Arabidopsis thaliana: one gene and its partners. The protein of the gene in region 1 purifies or fractionates together with the protein of each later gene. This does not show direct contact. Each region holds a gene or a part of one and is shown in the gene's direction. Other genes may lie near its edges. The genes, in order: CAM7, CDPK6 and ROC2.

Region 1 (5,716 bases):
AACTGCACTGTTTATTAACAATTGTCTTGTGAATTCGTGTTATACCGTTACTTAATAACAATTATAAACTATAAAATATAATTTTTCTTTAAATAGATACAAGTTGTAAACCTTAATATATACTAACGTTAAAATCGCCTAGACCAACGTTTGGACATCAATATAGAATATCAGGTTACATCAATGTATCAAATTCAATATGAAATATCAAGATACCATAACAATAATACAGAAATATCAAATTCAATATGAAAATCTGATTTTTGCTTTACTATTAGCAGAAAATTCATGATCTGGACATAAGTAGTTAGTAGATTAGCCTAAGTTAGTAAAAATTAAGTTACAAACCTAAAAAACAAATTTGTCACAAAACTAGAATTTTTTTATTTTTTGGAATACGGGTTAAATCTTTAATTTATTATTTTTAGCACCACTTATCAAATCAGTCTGATTAGAAAAGATTATATAAAATCAAAAAATATTTTGTGGTATAGTGCTACTTAATAATAATTGTAAACTATAAAAATAATTGATGACAATTATATAAATTTTTTAAAAATCGTAAAATCAACGCAATTGGCGGGAAATTTTTCTACAAAAATTTTCTACTAAATTACGGAAAAACCGTAAAATCATTCTCAATCGTCTACTAATATTTATTGTCTAACCATTTTCTTTCTTGTGTTATAATTTTGAAATGTGATAAAATAAAGAGAATTTATAATAAATGATTATAGATTTGAAAAGAATGTACAAACTAACCTTGAGTCACAGTAGCTTGTCGGAAACATATTGGAGAACACATGTAATTACATAAATATCCTTTGTAACATGTTTTTTTTCCGAAATACATGCGATAACATAATATCTCTTTTTATCTTGTTATTTTCTCTTATTACATAGTATTTATAAAAAGCACATGGTATTTTATGGAAAAAACATTCTATTCAGTTTAATATCTCTTTTTATCATGATATTTTGTAGTAATACACATTTTTTATTAAGATCACACGTGATTTCTTTAAAAATATATTCTTATTTTTTAGTAATACACGGTTTTATTAAAATCACATATAAATTTTTTTTAAGGATTATGTTCATGTAAGAAAATTTCATAATAATGTTTTTTCTTAAAAATTCATGACGTTTTTTTAAATAGCATGTTTTAAAACTAAATATAACATGTGAAATTTTAATGTTACATGTTATTTTGAAAAATTACACGAATGTGTTTCGTTTACAGTTCATCTTACAACAAATGAAAGGTAGCTTTGTTATTTCATTTCTTCCGACAACATGGGTCCATGGTTATTTTGTAACAAAAAACTTTCTCTCTACTAGTTTCTTAATTTGTATGTTTTATTTGGTTATCTAATATTACCCTAAAATAAACTTAGCAAATAGAAAATGAATTTTATCAAATTGCCTACACCAATGTTTGGATATCAATGTATAATATCAGGTTACATCAATATATATCATACCAAGATACCATAACAATAATACAAAAATATCAAATTCAAAACTATTAGCAGAAAGTTCATGATCTGGACATAAGTAGTTAGTAGATTAGCCTAAAATAGTAAAAACTAAGTTGCAAACCTAAAAAACAAATTTCTCCCAAAACTAGAATTTCTTAATTTTTTGGTCTGAGAAATTAAAAGAGAAAGACGTTTAGGAGGGCAAAATCGTCAATTCAAAAATACCTCATTTTACCTGTAGCTGGTGAGATCTCATTTTATAAAGGAGAAGGAACATTCACTCTCACGCGCTTCAACTTTCTCCAGAAACAAGAAAATATCACAGCAAAAATTTTCTCGAGAAAATCCGAAGAAGACAAAAAAAATGGCGGATCAGCTAACCGATGACCAGATCTCCGAGTTCAAGGAAGCTTTTAGCCTATTCGACAAAGACGGAGATGGTCTCTTCTTCTTCTTCTTCTTCTTCTTCTTCTCTCAGATCTCTTTCTCTTGTCGTTTTTTTTTTAGATTTCTTCGCGGTGATCGTGAATCTCTGCACATTTCGTTTATTGTTTCATGTGATTTGAAGAACGATCTCGTTTTGATTCGTTCAGTCTTGCTCACATCTCCAGAGTGTTTAGGGTTGATTTTTGCTTCTATAGAAGGATCTAGAATATGTAGAATCTCCTTTAGTATATTCGTTGATGATTACTAAGATTTGTAGTTATGGAATCTTGTTTAATTAGGTTATTCATCATATTCTAGATCCTACATTGGAATCGTACATTGGAATCTAGTTGTTTCTCTGTGATTTACTATGATTCTGAACAAATCCTGTGATTATAATCATGCGGATTTGTACGTTCTCACAAAATTTAGTGGCATTGTGGTTTTAAGATTCAATTGTAACATGTAGATTTATCTGCAGATGTTTATACTCAAAATCTAAAAAACGAAATTTGGTTTATTGTGTGATGTTGCCAAATAGAAAAATAGAGAAAGAAGTTGATAATATCATCTCTGTTGTTCTTCTTTACAATAGTTGAGAACTTGCAACGGTGTGCATTTTGTGATGCTTATTGGCAATACCATCATATTTAGAACATTGTGCATTTCCTGGCCTTTGATTAGAAAGAGGCTTTAAATGTTGCTTGGTGGTTTGTGTGCAAAAAGTTTCTTTGTTAACTTGGTAGATGTTTCCCGAACAATCAGTTTTACTTGTCGTATACTATGATTGGGGTTTAAGAGTATTTTACTAAGAGCATTTTTGAGCTTTCTTGTGAGAATAGGTGCATTTCCTGGCCTTTGATTACTAAGAGAATAACATCATATTTAGAACATTGTGCATTTCCTGGCCTTTGATTACTAAGAGAATACCATCATATTTAGAACATTGTGCATTTCCTGGCCTTTGATTAGAAAGAGGCTTTAAATGTTGCTTGGTGGTTTGTGTGCAAGAAGTTTCTTTGTTAACTTGGTAGATGATTTCCGAACAATCAGTTTTACTTGTCGAATCGTCGTCCTTTTAAATGAGATATACTATGATTGGGGTTAGTAGTGTAAGGATATTTTACTAAGAGCATTTTTGAGCTTTCTTGCATTTGAAAACTTGACATATTACTTGTGTTTAAGATAATTGGTTTATATATCTTCCTGATCTTGTTGACAATATTAGTGTTCATAAAGTTATACTCGGAACTCTTGCGTTACAAAATCTGAAGTTGTGTCCAATTTTGGTTTGATTGCAGGTTGTATCACCACAAAGGAGCTTGGGACTGTGATGAGATCACTTGGGCAGAACCCGACAGAAGCCGAGCTCCAGGACATGATCAACGAAGTGGATGCAGACGGGAACGGGACAATAGATTTCCCAGAGTTCCTGAACCTAATGGCACGTAAGATGAAAGACACTGATTCAGAGGAAGAGCTTAAGGAAGCCTTCAGGGTTTTTGACAAGGACCAGAACGGTTTCATCTCGGCGGCTGAGCTTCGTCACGTGATGACAAATCTTGGGGAGAAGTTGACGGATGAGGAAGTCGATGAGATGATCCGAGAGGCTGACGTCGATGGTGATGGTCAGATCAACTATGAAGAGTTCGTCAAAGTCATGATGGCAAAGTGAGATTCTTCTTATCCCTCGAAATCCTAAGCATGTTTTTCTTTTACATCTTTAAAACTGAGAAAAGTAATTTATTGAACCAAAAGAAACAGAGAGATTTGCTTCCTTGTTTGTTTTGTTGATCGTGATTTTTTGGTAACGTTGCTTCTTCTTTGCCTTTTGGTTTTGTTATTGTCCGTGACGTTTGAACTCATAATTTGCTTTAGTCTCTCGAGTCATGACCACTTGATGATGTTATTTTCTCTTTTCTCTAAAATATTGCAGTTTATTGAGATCGACTAATTATATCCATTACGTGGAGAAATAATTGCTTACTAGTTGCAAAAACGTGCACTGTAATTGTTTAAAATTTAGTGTCTTTGCAAGAACAAAGTAGTAGTAAAAGTTCTTGGGATCAAACATTTTCTATTTCAAATACCCACTTAAGGCCCAATGGTATGGTTGATAAGGCTGTTAAGGTTGTGAGGGTTTATTAGCTGATGAAGGCCTATCTTGTGAGTAATAGTACTGTCAAACTACTCCATCTTGTGTGGTTCTCCCCTAGATTATATTTGAAAAAAAACTAATTTATCTACGTATAGACATTTTTCTTACTATAACATTAGCTCTAATTTGAATTTGATATTTGGATTTATAATACACATAAACGTATATAATAGTTTGTTCTATATGTTTTTTATTTAATTTTATTTTATATGTTTATTTAATTATAGATATAAATTTTCCTCAATTGTTTAATTTTTTTCTATATTAAAATTGAATTATATTTTATTTTATGCAAAATCAACTTTTAGTATTTACAAGTTAGTCATTAAAGTTATATTTATAACAATTATTATAATTTCCACTATACTAGTCATAGACTCATAGTTCTAGTATTAGTATCAACTATATACTAATAGAACCATAAATTTGTTTGTTTTTTGTTTTTTTAATAAATCTTATCGACTGATCCGGTCGGCCCGTATAAACTATAAGTTTGTTTTTATAGAGTTTTTCTAATTTAGTTATTGTCAATTTAACATTCAAGCTCATTAAGTTTTCTTTAGTAATATGTAAGACTCTTTTTATGCAATTCAGTTCATATATCTCTCTTCTCTTTTTTTTTTTTTTGTGACGAACTAAGAAACAAAAAAGAATTGACATTTTACAGTTAATTCTATTATCTTCTTCATTTCTAAACCCCAAAGAAAGAAGGAACCAACTACTCGGTTTTTATTGTTTCTTGTTCTCAGTCATGTTTGGGAATGCGCAAGTAAATTGATAAAGAAAAGGAAGAAGAAGAAGAAGAAAAAGAAAAAGAAGAAGACCAAAAATGCTAAAAGGAATGAGAAAGAATTGATCCAGCATAACCCCTCACAGCCCGAGTCACATCGCGTTCCTAGCCGTTTGAATCTCCTCTGCCACCGCTCTCATTCTTGCTCGATTCTATAGCTCACTGTACTTGCTGATCAAGAACTAACTTAAAACAATGAAGACGAAGAATAGTGAAAGCTAATAGTAGATAACTTGCATATATCGAGGGATTGTTTAAAAAACATAATAATAACCTTGTATATAGGCTACGTAATGGCATAAAGAAAAGATTGGTTGGTGGATTACCATGCGAGCCGCTGGTAGAGGACTAACAATTATGTACTTGGATTCAAACCATTTAGTTTAGTCCTAAGAAAAAAAATTAAGTTACCAAGTTTATCTCTAGGAATTTAGAATTTTAACAGTTTTATAGATTTATATTCATCTTGTAAACGATAAACGATAAACAAAACCAGTAGTGTCTCCAACCGCCGAAATGTTAACAATTAAACGATAAACATAGATTTTTTTTTCTATGATCAATTTTAGAAAAATAAAATTTACAAACAAGTATTTTAATTATTAAACTTTGAGAGAATGAAATGTAATAAAGAAAAGAAAAAAAAATTAGAAAATTTTTTTTGACCCACGTCTCCCTCTCAAATGCTCTCTTTCTCTTTATTTAAATCTGTTACACCTCTCTTTCTCTCTCACCAAACAAAAACTTTTTCGAATATTTTAGTAATTATAAATAGTAATTGTACTACTTCTCCAATTAAGTTACGGAAATGTACTGTTTTCTAAACAAACTCAAAGAAAAAGGTTAAAAAAATTAAAGAAA
Region 2 (5,315 bases), on another chromosome or scaffold:
AAATTCTGAAGATATGTTCTCAGGTCTTGTCTTTAGTTTTGTGATCAAATTCTTTTCTACTTGAGCTCATTTCAGTATGTATATTCTGCAGCCGTGTTTTAGGGGCTTCATCTTTGTTACTTGTCTTTTCCTACCCACTTATGAAGAGGTTTACATTTTGGGTAATTTAAATCTATTCTGGCTTCTCAAAGTTAGACATTATATATTTTCTGATTTTCTTATGATTGATTCGTTTTTATAATTGCAGCCTCAAGCCTTTTTAGGTTTGACCATAAACTGGGGAGCATTGTTAGGATGGACTGCAGTTAAAGGAAGCATAGCACCATCTATTGTACTCCCTCTCTATCTCTCCGGAGTCTGCTGGACCCTTGTTTATGATACTATTTATGCACATCAGGTATATTCACTTTTTATTTTTTAGCTTCAAAATCTATTTGATTATGACCAGTAGCAAAGTAGTTAATCTCAATGTGTGCATATTGCTTGCTTTGTTTTCTTTTTCTAGCTTCACCACCACAGATTTCTTTTTCAGCTTTTGTTTCATGTCTCATGCAAATGCATCCATTTCGATGTTCGACTTTTGTCAATCATAAAGAAGAAAATTACCCTGATCTCCCACCTTTTCCATCTGATTTCTATACTTTAAGTGAAGAGTTAGCCCCATAAAAGTCTTCCCGTTTGCAACAGAAGTGAGAAAAGAAAGTTACCTTTGTGGCCCATTGAAAATGAAATAGTATATGCCACAAGCTACGAACCCAAAATTTCAGCTCAAGTTCAGTTTTTATGCAAGTAATTTTGAGATATTCTAGGTTAAATCATTTTTTTTCCATGGACTAATGTCTAATATATTGTGTCTCCAGGACAAAGAAGATGATGTAAAAGTTGGTGTTAAGTCAACAGCCCTTAGATTCGGTGATAATACAAAGCTTTGGTTAACTGGATTTGGCACAGCATCCATAGGTTTTCTTGCACTTTCTGGATTCAGTGCAGATCTCGGTACTCAATAAACTTTACAAGGACTCATTTGTGATTCCTAATTCCATTTACTGTCTTTTGATTCTTTTTGTTTCTCGCTCTAATGATTAAGGGTGGCAATATTACGCATCACTGGCCGCTGCATCAGGACAGTTAGGATGGCAAATAGGGACAGCTGACTTATCATCTGGTGCTGACTGCAGTAGAAAGTATGAAAATTTGGGTTTATCTTTTGTACTCTTTCACAATCCAATTATGTGATTTGCCTTGGAAAACCTAATAGTGTTTTTATATCTGTACAGATTTGTGTCGAACAAGTGGTTTGGTGCTATTATATTTAGTGGAGTTGTACTTGGAAGAAGTTTTCAATAAAGACTCTCTCTCTGTCAACGAATGAGGATGAAGCTGTAGTGTGAGGAACCTATATATGAAGAATTGAAGTAGACTTTTGAGACACACTGTAAGTGAAACAGAGGACATGGTCTTGCTACAAAGTGGGTCTCCTTCAGGATTGAAATGATCAAGGAGCCATTGCCAGAAAAGCTGAAACTTAACTCTTTTAGATTAGTGACTAGTTACTACTGGTTCTTGTAAAAGAAGCTATTGTTGTTGTTTGGGATCCATGTCTTTTCTTCCAGGAGGTAGTTTGGCTGTATGTATACAATGATCATGACCTTCTGGTCAAACAAGAGGCTTTACTTTTGGCTTTTATAGTTGACATACGCAATATCATTGATTTTGTAACCTAAAGGATGTTAATAACTTTTCCTTTTTCAATCTCAAATTGCAAAAGATTAACATTGAATTAGCCGTGTGATTGATTGGAGAAGTGGAAACAACTAATATGCAGAAGATTTCCACATCCACTAATTTATCTTCCAATGGGACAAATACTTTTGTTTATACGCGGTTCAACTACGTACCAATAAAAACACGCCACGTGGTCATCGTGTCTGATCTCAGACATTAAAAAGCCATAAGAATCGGAGATACAATCTTTCTCTCTCGATTGACTTTATTGACTGAGAGAAAGCTTTTGACAATGGGCCACAGACACAGCAAGTCCAAATCCTCCGATCCGCCACCGTCCTCCTCCTCCTCTTCCTCCGGCAACGTAGTCCACCATGTTAAACCTGCCGGAGAACGCCGCGGATCATCCGGTTCCGGAACCGTCGGATCGTCAGGCTCCGGAACAGGCGGATCTCGTTCCACCACATCTACTCAGCAGAATGGTCGGATCTTAGGTCGGCCGATGGAGGAAGTACGGAGAACCTATGAGTTTGGTCGTGAGCTTGGTCGTGGCCAGTTTGGTGTCACGTACCTCGTAACTCACAAAGAGACGAAACAACAGGTCGCTTGCAAGTCAATCCCTACGCGCCGCCTTGTTCACAAAGACGACATTGAAGATGTTCGCCGTGAAGTCCAGATTATGCACCATCTCAGCGGTCACCGGTAAATCTCTTTTTTTGTATCTCACTGGAAAATGCTTCTTTGACATTTTCCGAAATCGAATCTGAAACGCCTTTTGTTGGAATATTGGTGAATATTTAGACATAGGATTCGTTTTCTATATTAATGAATGGTTTGCATCATATGTGGATGAAAAGTTTGGTGGTCCTATGTTAAACTCTTGAAAAAGTTTCCCTTTTTGCATATTTATATTTACCTGAGTTTCAAATTGGTGAGTTGATTATAGGAACATAGTGGACTTGAAGGGAGCCTACGAGGACAGACACTCTGTGAATCTGATAATGGAGTTGTGTGAAGGAGGGGAATTGTTCGATAGGATCATTTCTAAAGGTCTTTACTCAGAGAGAGCTGCTGCGGATTTGTGTAGGCAGATGGTGATGGTTGTGCATAGTTGTCATTCTATGGGTGTAATGCACCGAGACTTGAAGCCCGAAAACTTTCTCTTTCTTAGTAAAGATGAGAACTCACCATTGAAAGCTACAGACTTTGGTCTCTCTGTCTTCTTCAAGCCAGGTTTGAACAGCCTCTATCCTTCCCTATTTGATTTCTATAGACAATTTATCCCTCTAATGAAGTTGATCCATTAATGCAGGTGATAAGTTTAAGGATCTTGTTGGAAGTGCATACTATGTTGCCCCAGAAGTTCTAAAACGGAACTATGGACCAGAGGCTGATATCTGGAGTGCTGGTGTGATTCTATACATCCTTCTCAGTGGTGTTCCGCCTTTCTGGGGAGGTATTGTCTTGATCTTATTTGAGAAGAGAATTTGGTTTCACTGTTTAAATGTTGGACTGGAATGTATAGTCACGTTCTTTCTGTTGTGCAGAAAATGAAACGGGGATCTTTGATGCCATTCTTCAAGGGCAACTTGATTTTTCAGCTGATCCATGGCCAGCACTATCAGATGGTGCCAAAGATCTTGTGAGGAAAATGTTAAAATATGACCCTAAAGATCGGCTTACAGCTGCGGAAGTGCTAAGTAAGACCCCTTTATAACATGTTTTGATGAATAAATTGATGAAAACACCTTCTTTTATCCAATTTTAATAACGTTTTGATACATACGCAGATCATCCGTGGATTAGAGAAGATGGGGAGGCATCAGACAAACCGCTTGACAATGCGGTGTTATCCAGGATGAAACAATTCCGGGCGATGAACAAACTAAAAAAAATGGCCCTGAAGGTAATTAAAACACTGATTGAAACAGTCTTACCATCACTATTGTAGTTTATGTAGTCTTCTTGTTCTAAAGCCAATCTTTGGTTTTCGTTTTGCAATTTCAGGTTATCGCTGAGAACCTTTCTGAAGAAGAAATCATTGGTCTTAAAGAGATGTTCAAATCTCTAGACACTGATAACAATGGAATAGTCACCTTGGAGGAATTGAGAACCGGTCTCCCAAAACTTGGTTCAAAGATCTCTGAAGCTGAAATAAGGCAGTTAATGGAAGCAGTAAGTCTATCACAATCCACTACTTTGATGTCAAAGCAATAATGCTTATGATGCTTTGTTTCTTTTAGGCTGATATGGATGGAGATGGATCAATTGATTACTTGGAGTTTATATCAGCCACAATGCATATGAACAGAATCGAACGTGAGGATCACTTGTACACCGCATTCCAGTTCTTTGACAATGACAACAGCGGGTAAAACATTGTTCTTTAGCTCTCTATTTCTTTCTTTAACAAGCTATAAATAAAGTCTCACTCTTTGATCTTGATTTGTGATATTAGCTACATAACAATGGAAGAGCTAGAGCTAGCCATGAAGAAATACAACATGGGTGATGATAAATCCATCAAAGAGATCATTGCTGAAGTAGACACCGATCGTGTAAGTATACGTAAATCTCTGGTTTCGTCCAATTCATACATCTGTAAGTATACGTGTAAGTTTAACACTCTCTTCTCATCTTTGTATTCGAATCTTTAGGACGGAAAAATCAACTACGAAGAATTTGTAGCGATGATGAAGAAGGGAAATCCAGAATTGGTGCCAAACCGACGCAGAATGTGAGAGATCTTTTGATGTTGTTTGTTTGTTTTTGGTTATCACTTTACTCAAACTTTGTGTTTCTGTTACAATCAATTATTTTGTTTCCTGCAATCTCTTTTTATCAACACAACATAAAAAATACTTTGAGATCAGAAAGCCATTTGCAGGTTTGGTTAATGACTTATGAGAGATTCAATATATAATAATTACAGGTTGATTCTTGCATGATTTGAAGCTGAAATTCACTTAAAAAATTATAGAATGATAATCTTAACCCTTACAAACAAATTTGAGATTATATCTAATCAAGGCAATAAAAAAATAAGCAAGGTGCAGTAGGAGGGATTAGAAGTTTCAAATCCGATTTTTATACATGAAAAATGACGAAATCTAATAATCTTGGTGACATTTTCTCACAGAGAAATCGGACAACTAAAATGAGTAAAAAAAATTAAAAGAACGAATAAAAAATCAACTGAGATATATATAAAAAAAAAACTGGAAGAAGAAGAAGGACCGCGAGCTTTGGATCGAATTTGTTAAATTTTTCTTCTCTCGATAATAAAAACAACAAATGATCGTTGATCGTTTTTCTCTAGATTCGATTCCGATTCCAAAGAACTAGTCTCCGGCGTGTAATCTCTGATCGTTGAAGATCCAAGCTACGCCGCATCTTACTCGCCGGCGGCTTGAATCATGGTATGTCGCTCCCTTCTCTCGACCGATACGTCGGAAATCTTAAACCCCTAGATTCCTTATTGCTACTCCTGCGGAATTACAATTGTTGTACTGTGATGATGTGAATAGAAATGGTGAGAGAATTCTGAAAATGAATGATGCCAATATTCATTGAATTTAGCTTCTGATTCT
Region 3 (4,116 bases), 5.1 Mb from region 1:
TATGGGCTTTTTGATCTGTTACTGAAAGTTTTTTCTTTTTTTTTTCTTTTTGGACAACTGTTATTGAAAGCAAAAATGTAAAATAGTGAAATAAGAGGGCAAAACGAAGAAAACATCTCTCTGTCTAAAACAAGCAAATAAATGGAACGAAATCCATACCAAGAACAACATTGACGCCGGGTATATATTTCCGTCAGCAGATTCTCCATCTATGGCTCAAACAAATAGATCCAAAATCAAATGAATATGTTTTGGAAATAAATATTATATTTTGTTTCAATGCAAAATTCCAATGATTTGAAGTGAAGTGATTTGATGAAGGAGTTGAAGTGATTTGAGTTTAGATAAAAATTTAGATGATTTTGACGATTTAAAATTTTAGAGAGTTTTGACAATTTTTTAAAATGACATATAAAATAACACATAAGATTAAAAGAGACATTTACGAATAATATTAAAGACATTGAGTTATTTTATGAAATCAATAATGAAACTAATGAAATGACGATTTGGATAATCACCGGACCATTATATAATTTCATTATTTCAGAATAGTGATTTGGATAATCACCGGATAATTAATACTATTATCTAAGTAAAATAATTATGTGAATTTCAGCATAAACTACTAAAATTGCCATTGTGATTTTTCAAAAATAATTTAAATTTGATTAACTAGATGTTAAAATGAGTAATCGGTTCATGGATTAAATCACTTTATAAAATGATCTACCTCCATCATAACCTATTAGATTGAAAGATAGGTTCAGAGTTTGTGCAAAAAAATCTATAGCATACACATCTGAACTATTTCTCTTTGGTCAAAGAATCCTAAGTCTATTTCTGGTATTAAAGATGACATCCGAAAAGCCCTTTTAAAAAGATATTCAGGAATCAGTATAAGATATTCTGAGGGAAGTCAATCAGAAAATGATATTTGGTTAGCTCTGGTGGTCAATATAATTGAAACCCTCAACAGTCCAACCATAATTGAAAACATTTGTTTTTCCTAATCGATGATTTCCACGTTTTACATTAAAATTGTCTATTTCTAACACTGTAGAGTGATTAGTAGTATAAAGATAGTTTGAACGTCAAATATTATACTACATACTGTTTAGTGCTGACTCTTGTCCACCTTATAAACATCTGAAGTCAAAAGGATGCTGAAGTCATTAGAGTAAATATTGAGAGGAAGAAGTCTTATCGTCGCCCCATTTCACTTATCATTGGGTGAGATCGGTCTTGAAGAAAGAGAGTTAGAGAGGAAAAAGAAGAATCTTATTAGCTCTATAATATCTGATATTGCTTCTCATTTAGTTTTTCACTTTTTACATTAAGATTGGTTGTTTGTAACATTATGGAGTGGTTAATAGTATAAAGATAATCTGAATATTATAATATATAATGTAGAGTCTTGTCCACCTAATAACCATCTCTTCAAAAGCATTGTTCTATGATCTGATTTTTCGGAAAGACTCTGCACTTCTGTTGCACTTCTGTTGTTGGACACTTTCTCTTTGCTAATAAACCACTAACACAAGTCCAAGCGACCAGAGAATCCATTTCTTCTTGTTTTATTAGAGCATTCATAATAAGGCCAAGATTATAAATCATCCGAAAAGCCCAAGTGTCCTATGTAATTTATTTTCCAAAGCTCATTTAATTAGATCTAAGCAACTAGGTTCATATATATATAGTCTCTTGTAATGAACATCAAATAGTTAACTTTGAAAGCAATCTCAAAACATTGAGATTTATGTTGTTAAAGAGCTTATTAAGATAGCAACACGAGATTGAAATTAGATAGCTTATTAAAGCTTTAATTAGCTCACACGAACCAATGTGAAATGGGGTTTGTTGTTGGGTCCAAGTCCAACGAAACGATTATATTTCTTGGATGGTAGTTTTAATAATGGGCCTGAATCATATGGGCTTTTTGATGAGACTGTGACGGTAAGAAAATAAAAAAGGGCAAAACCGAGAAAACAGATCTCTCTGTCTCAACTCAAACAATCAAAAGCCCTAGTAAAACCCTAGCCCCCAAAGCCCTTGTGCCATTGAGCCGTTATATAAATCCTTCACTCGCTCCTTGAGAAGACGAATTTGAGATTGCCTCTGCAAAGGTACTTCATTTCGGTGAACCCAATTCATGTTTTCGATGATTTTTGCTTCTCTATTTCTTCGATTTTGCGTTTTATCGCGTTAAAAGCACATATCGAAGGCTTGCAGATAACGTATAATAAAAAACGCCTGCGAGCTCAATATTTGTGCAATATCCTAAAACCATCCATTTGAGGTTTCGATAAATCTCTGTGTTATAAGAATTTATCTTTTCTTATCGACAATTTCGATGGATGGGACATTTATTAATCGGTTTTATGATTTTTAACATTGTATGAGAAAATCTGAGTCAGATCTGAATAATTGAATCCTTATTCGTCTGCATTGATCGGAAAATAGTACCACTTGGGTTTTATCTAGTTTACTTTAAGGTGCTCATAGAGTGGTAATCTCACAATTGTTGTTGTTTGAACAATTTGGGACCTTTGTTTGCATGATTTAGTCTCTTATATACCAATTAGAATTTGGGACCATCTGCTGATTCATATCTTTGTAATTGACAGAGTAAAATGGCGAATCCTAAAGTCTTCTTCGACATCTTGATTGGTAAGATGAAGGCAGGGCGTGTTGTAATGGAGTTATTTGCAGATGTGACTCCGAGAACAGCTAATAATTTCCGTGCTTTGTGCACTGGGGAGAATGGTATTGGGAAAGCAGGGAAGGCTTTACACTACAAAGGCTCAGCCTTTCACCGTATAATCCCAGGGTTCATGTGTCAAGGTGGAGATTTCACTCGTGGGAATGGAACTGGAGGAGAATCTATTTACGGGTCTAAATTTGAAGATGAGAACTTCAAGTTGAAGCACACTGGTCCAGGGATTTTGTCTATGGCTAACTCTGGTCCCAACACTAATGGTTCTCAGTTCTTCATCTGCACAGAGAAGACTTCGTGGCTTGATGGGAAACATGTTGTTTTCGGGAAAGTTGTTGATGGATACAATGTGGTCAAGGCAATGGAGGATGTTGGCTCTGACATGGGAAATCCTTCTGAACGAGTTGTGATTGAAGATTGTGGTGAGCTCAAGAACCCAAGTTCATAAGTTCTTAAAACATTGGGTGGGTTGATCTTGACAGGTTATTCTATCATATGCTGTGAAGCAGAGACAGCATCTTAGCGTTAAGGTCAATCTAGTCTGTGATGCACTACTTTGGTTTTGACTATATCATATGAACCTTAGGAAGTGGTCCATCCTTGTAAGTTGTTTTCTTAAAACTCTTGTGTGAGAATAGGATGGATGATAATAATGGTTAGTTTCTTTATGAAGACATTTGGTTTTGTAGCTTTCTTATTTTGGTGTAGTTAATATGAATGAACCAAACTCTTCTTAGGACTCATTTGCGAATATGTATCCAAAATTGCTGACTTTTCGAATTGGGCAGATTTCACTTCATATGCAGAACAAGATAAACTTTCTGATCATGTGATGATAAATATTGTTTAGCCAACGCATCACACATTTCTTTGAGTAGTTTCTACTTATGGTTAAGTTTCAGCATCAATAGTCAATAGCCAACAATATTTGGACAGTCTTCTTTAAATACTCCAACAACTAGTTTGCCTTGGCAATTAATGTAACTTAAAGTCTAGCCAACTCTTTGGTATTAGCTTCGTTATTTTATACATTTCTTAAAACCATTTTATTCACATTTCTTGACCACTTGGATTCCAACATAGTGGCCAGCCATGCTGCACCACCTCGTCAAAATTACCACAATAATTTGATTTGGTCAAATCATCATTTTTTTGGAAAACAACAACAAAAAAACTTAAACTTTGTATAATAAGGACCCTGGGGTTAAAAGTATAATTATTACTATGTAACAAATCAAAGTCTAAGATGGAAAATACTATAATCCGTTGACTTAAATGTGCTAGAAAAAATAAAGAGGTCGAAGCCAGGTTATCATCGAATAAGACTTTTGCCGCAACCGTGAGAGATGTTCCTGTTTGTTTTTTCTTTTCTAAATGTTGGTTTATAAATAGCATATTTT

The links.
Region 2: the proteins of CAM7 (region 1) and CDPK6 purify together in Arabidopsis thaliana (affinity purification with western blotting, with the first as the bait; one study listed by BioGRID). This does not show direct contact.
Region 3: the proteins of CAM7 (region 1) and ROC2 purify together in Arabidopsis thaliana (affinity purification with western blotting, with the first as the bait; one study listed by BioGRID). This does not show direct contact.

Annotation. Positions count from the first base shown.
Region 1 is NC_003074.8:15,662,485-15,668,200, reverse strand, and holds CAM7 (calmodulin 7), read left to right. Parts: upstream 1-1,731; 5' UTR 1,732-1,845; coding exon 1,846-1,921; exon of another isoform or gene 1,922-2,567; intron 2,568-2,720; exon of another isoform or gene 2,721-3,208; coding exon 3,209-3,578; coding exon of another isoform or gene 3,579-3,582; exon of another isoform or gene 3,583-4,069; intron 4,070-4,814; coding exon 4,815-5,013; 3' UTR 5,014-5,201; downstream 5,202-5,716. UniProt on the Arabidopsis thaliana protein: Calmodulin mediates the control of a large number of enzymes, ion channels and other proteins by Ca(2+). Among the enzymes to be stimulated by the calmodulin-Ca(2+) complex are a number of protein kinases and phosphatases. Activates MPK8 in vitro.
Region 2 is NC_003075.7:12,324,118-12,329,432, reverse strand, and holds CDPK6 (calcium-dependent protein kinase 6), read left to right. Parts: upstream 1-1,781; 5' UTR 1,782-2,017; coding exon 2,018-2,427; intron 2,428-2,671; coding exon 2,672-2,958; intron 2,959-3,037; coding exon 3,038-3,181; intron 3,182-3,272; coding exon 3,273-3,425; intron 3,426-3,515; coding exon 3,516-3,631; intron 3,632-3,732; coding exon 3,733-3,900; intron 3,901-3,968; coding exon 3,969-4,096; intron 4,097-4,183; coding exon 4,184-4,283; intron 4,284-4,382; coding exon 4,383-4,466; 3' UTR 4,467-4,675; downstream 4,676-5,315. Other genes in the region: PPT1 (polyprenyltransferase 1), read left to right, coding at 92-161, 248-397, 506-571, 861-996, 1,088-1,184, 1,278-1,347; TRH1 (Potassium transporter family protein), read left to right, coding at 5,142-5,144. UniProt on the Arabidopsis thaliana protein: May play a role in signal transduction pathways that involve calcium as a second messenger. Functions in abscisic acid (ABA) regulation of guard cell S-type anion- and Ca(2+)-permeable channels and stomatal closure.
Region 3 is NC_003074.8:20,806,035-20,810,150, reverse strand, and holds ROC2 (rotamase cyclophilin 2), read left to right. Parts: upstream 1-1,982; 5' UTR 1,983-2,126; exon of another isoform or gene 2,127-2,299; intron 2,300-2,627; 5' UTR 2,628-2,633; coding exon 2,634-3,164; 3' UTR 3,165-3,585; downstream 3,586-4,116. UniProt on the Arabidopsis thaliana protein: PPIases accelerate the folding of proteins. It catalyzes the cis-trans isomerization of proline imidic peptide bonds in oligopeptides.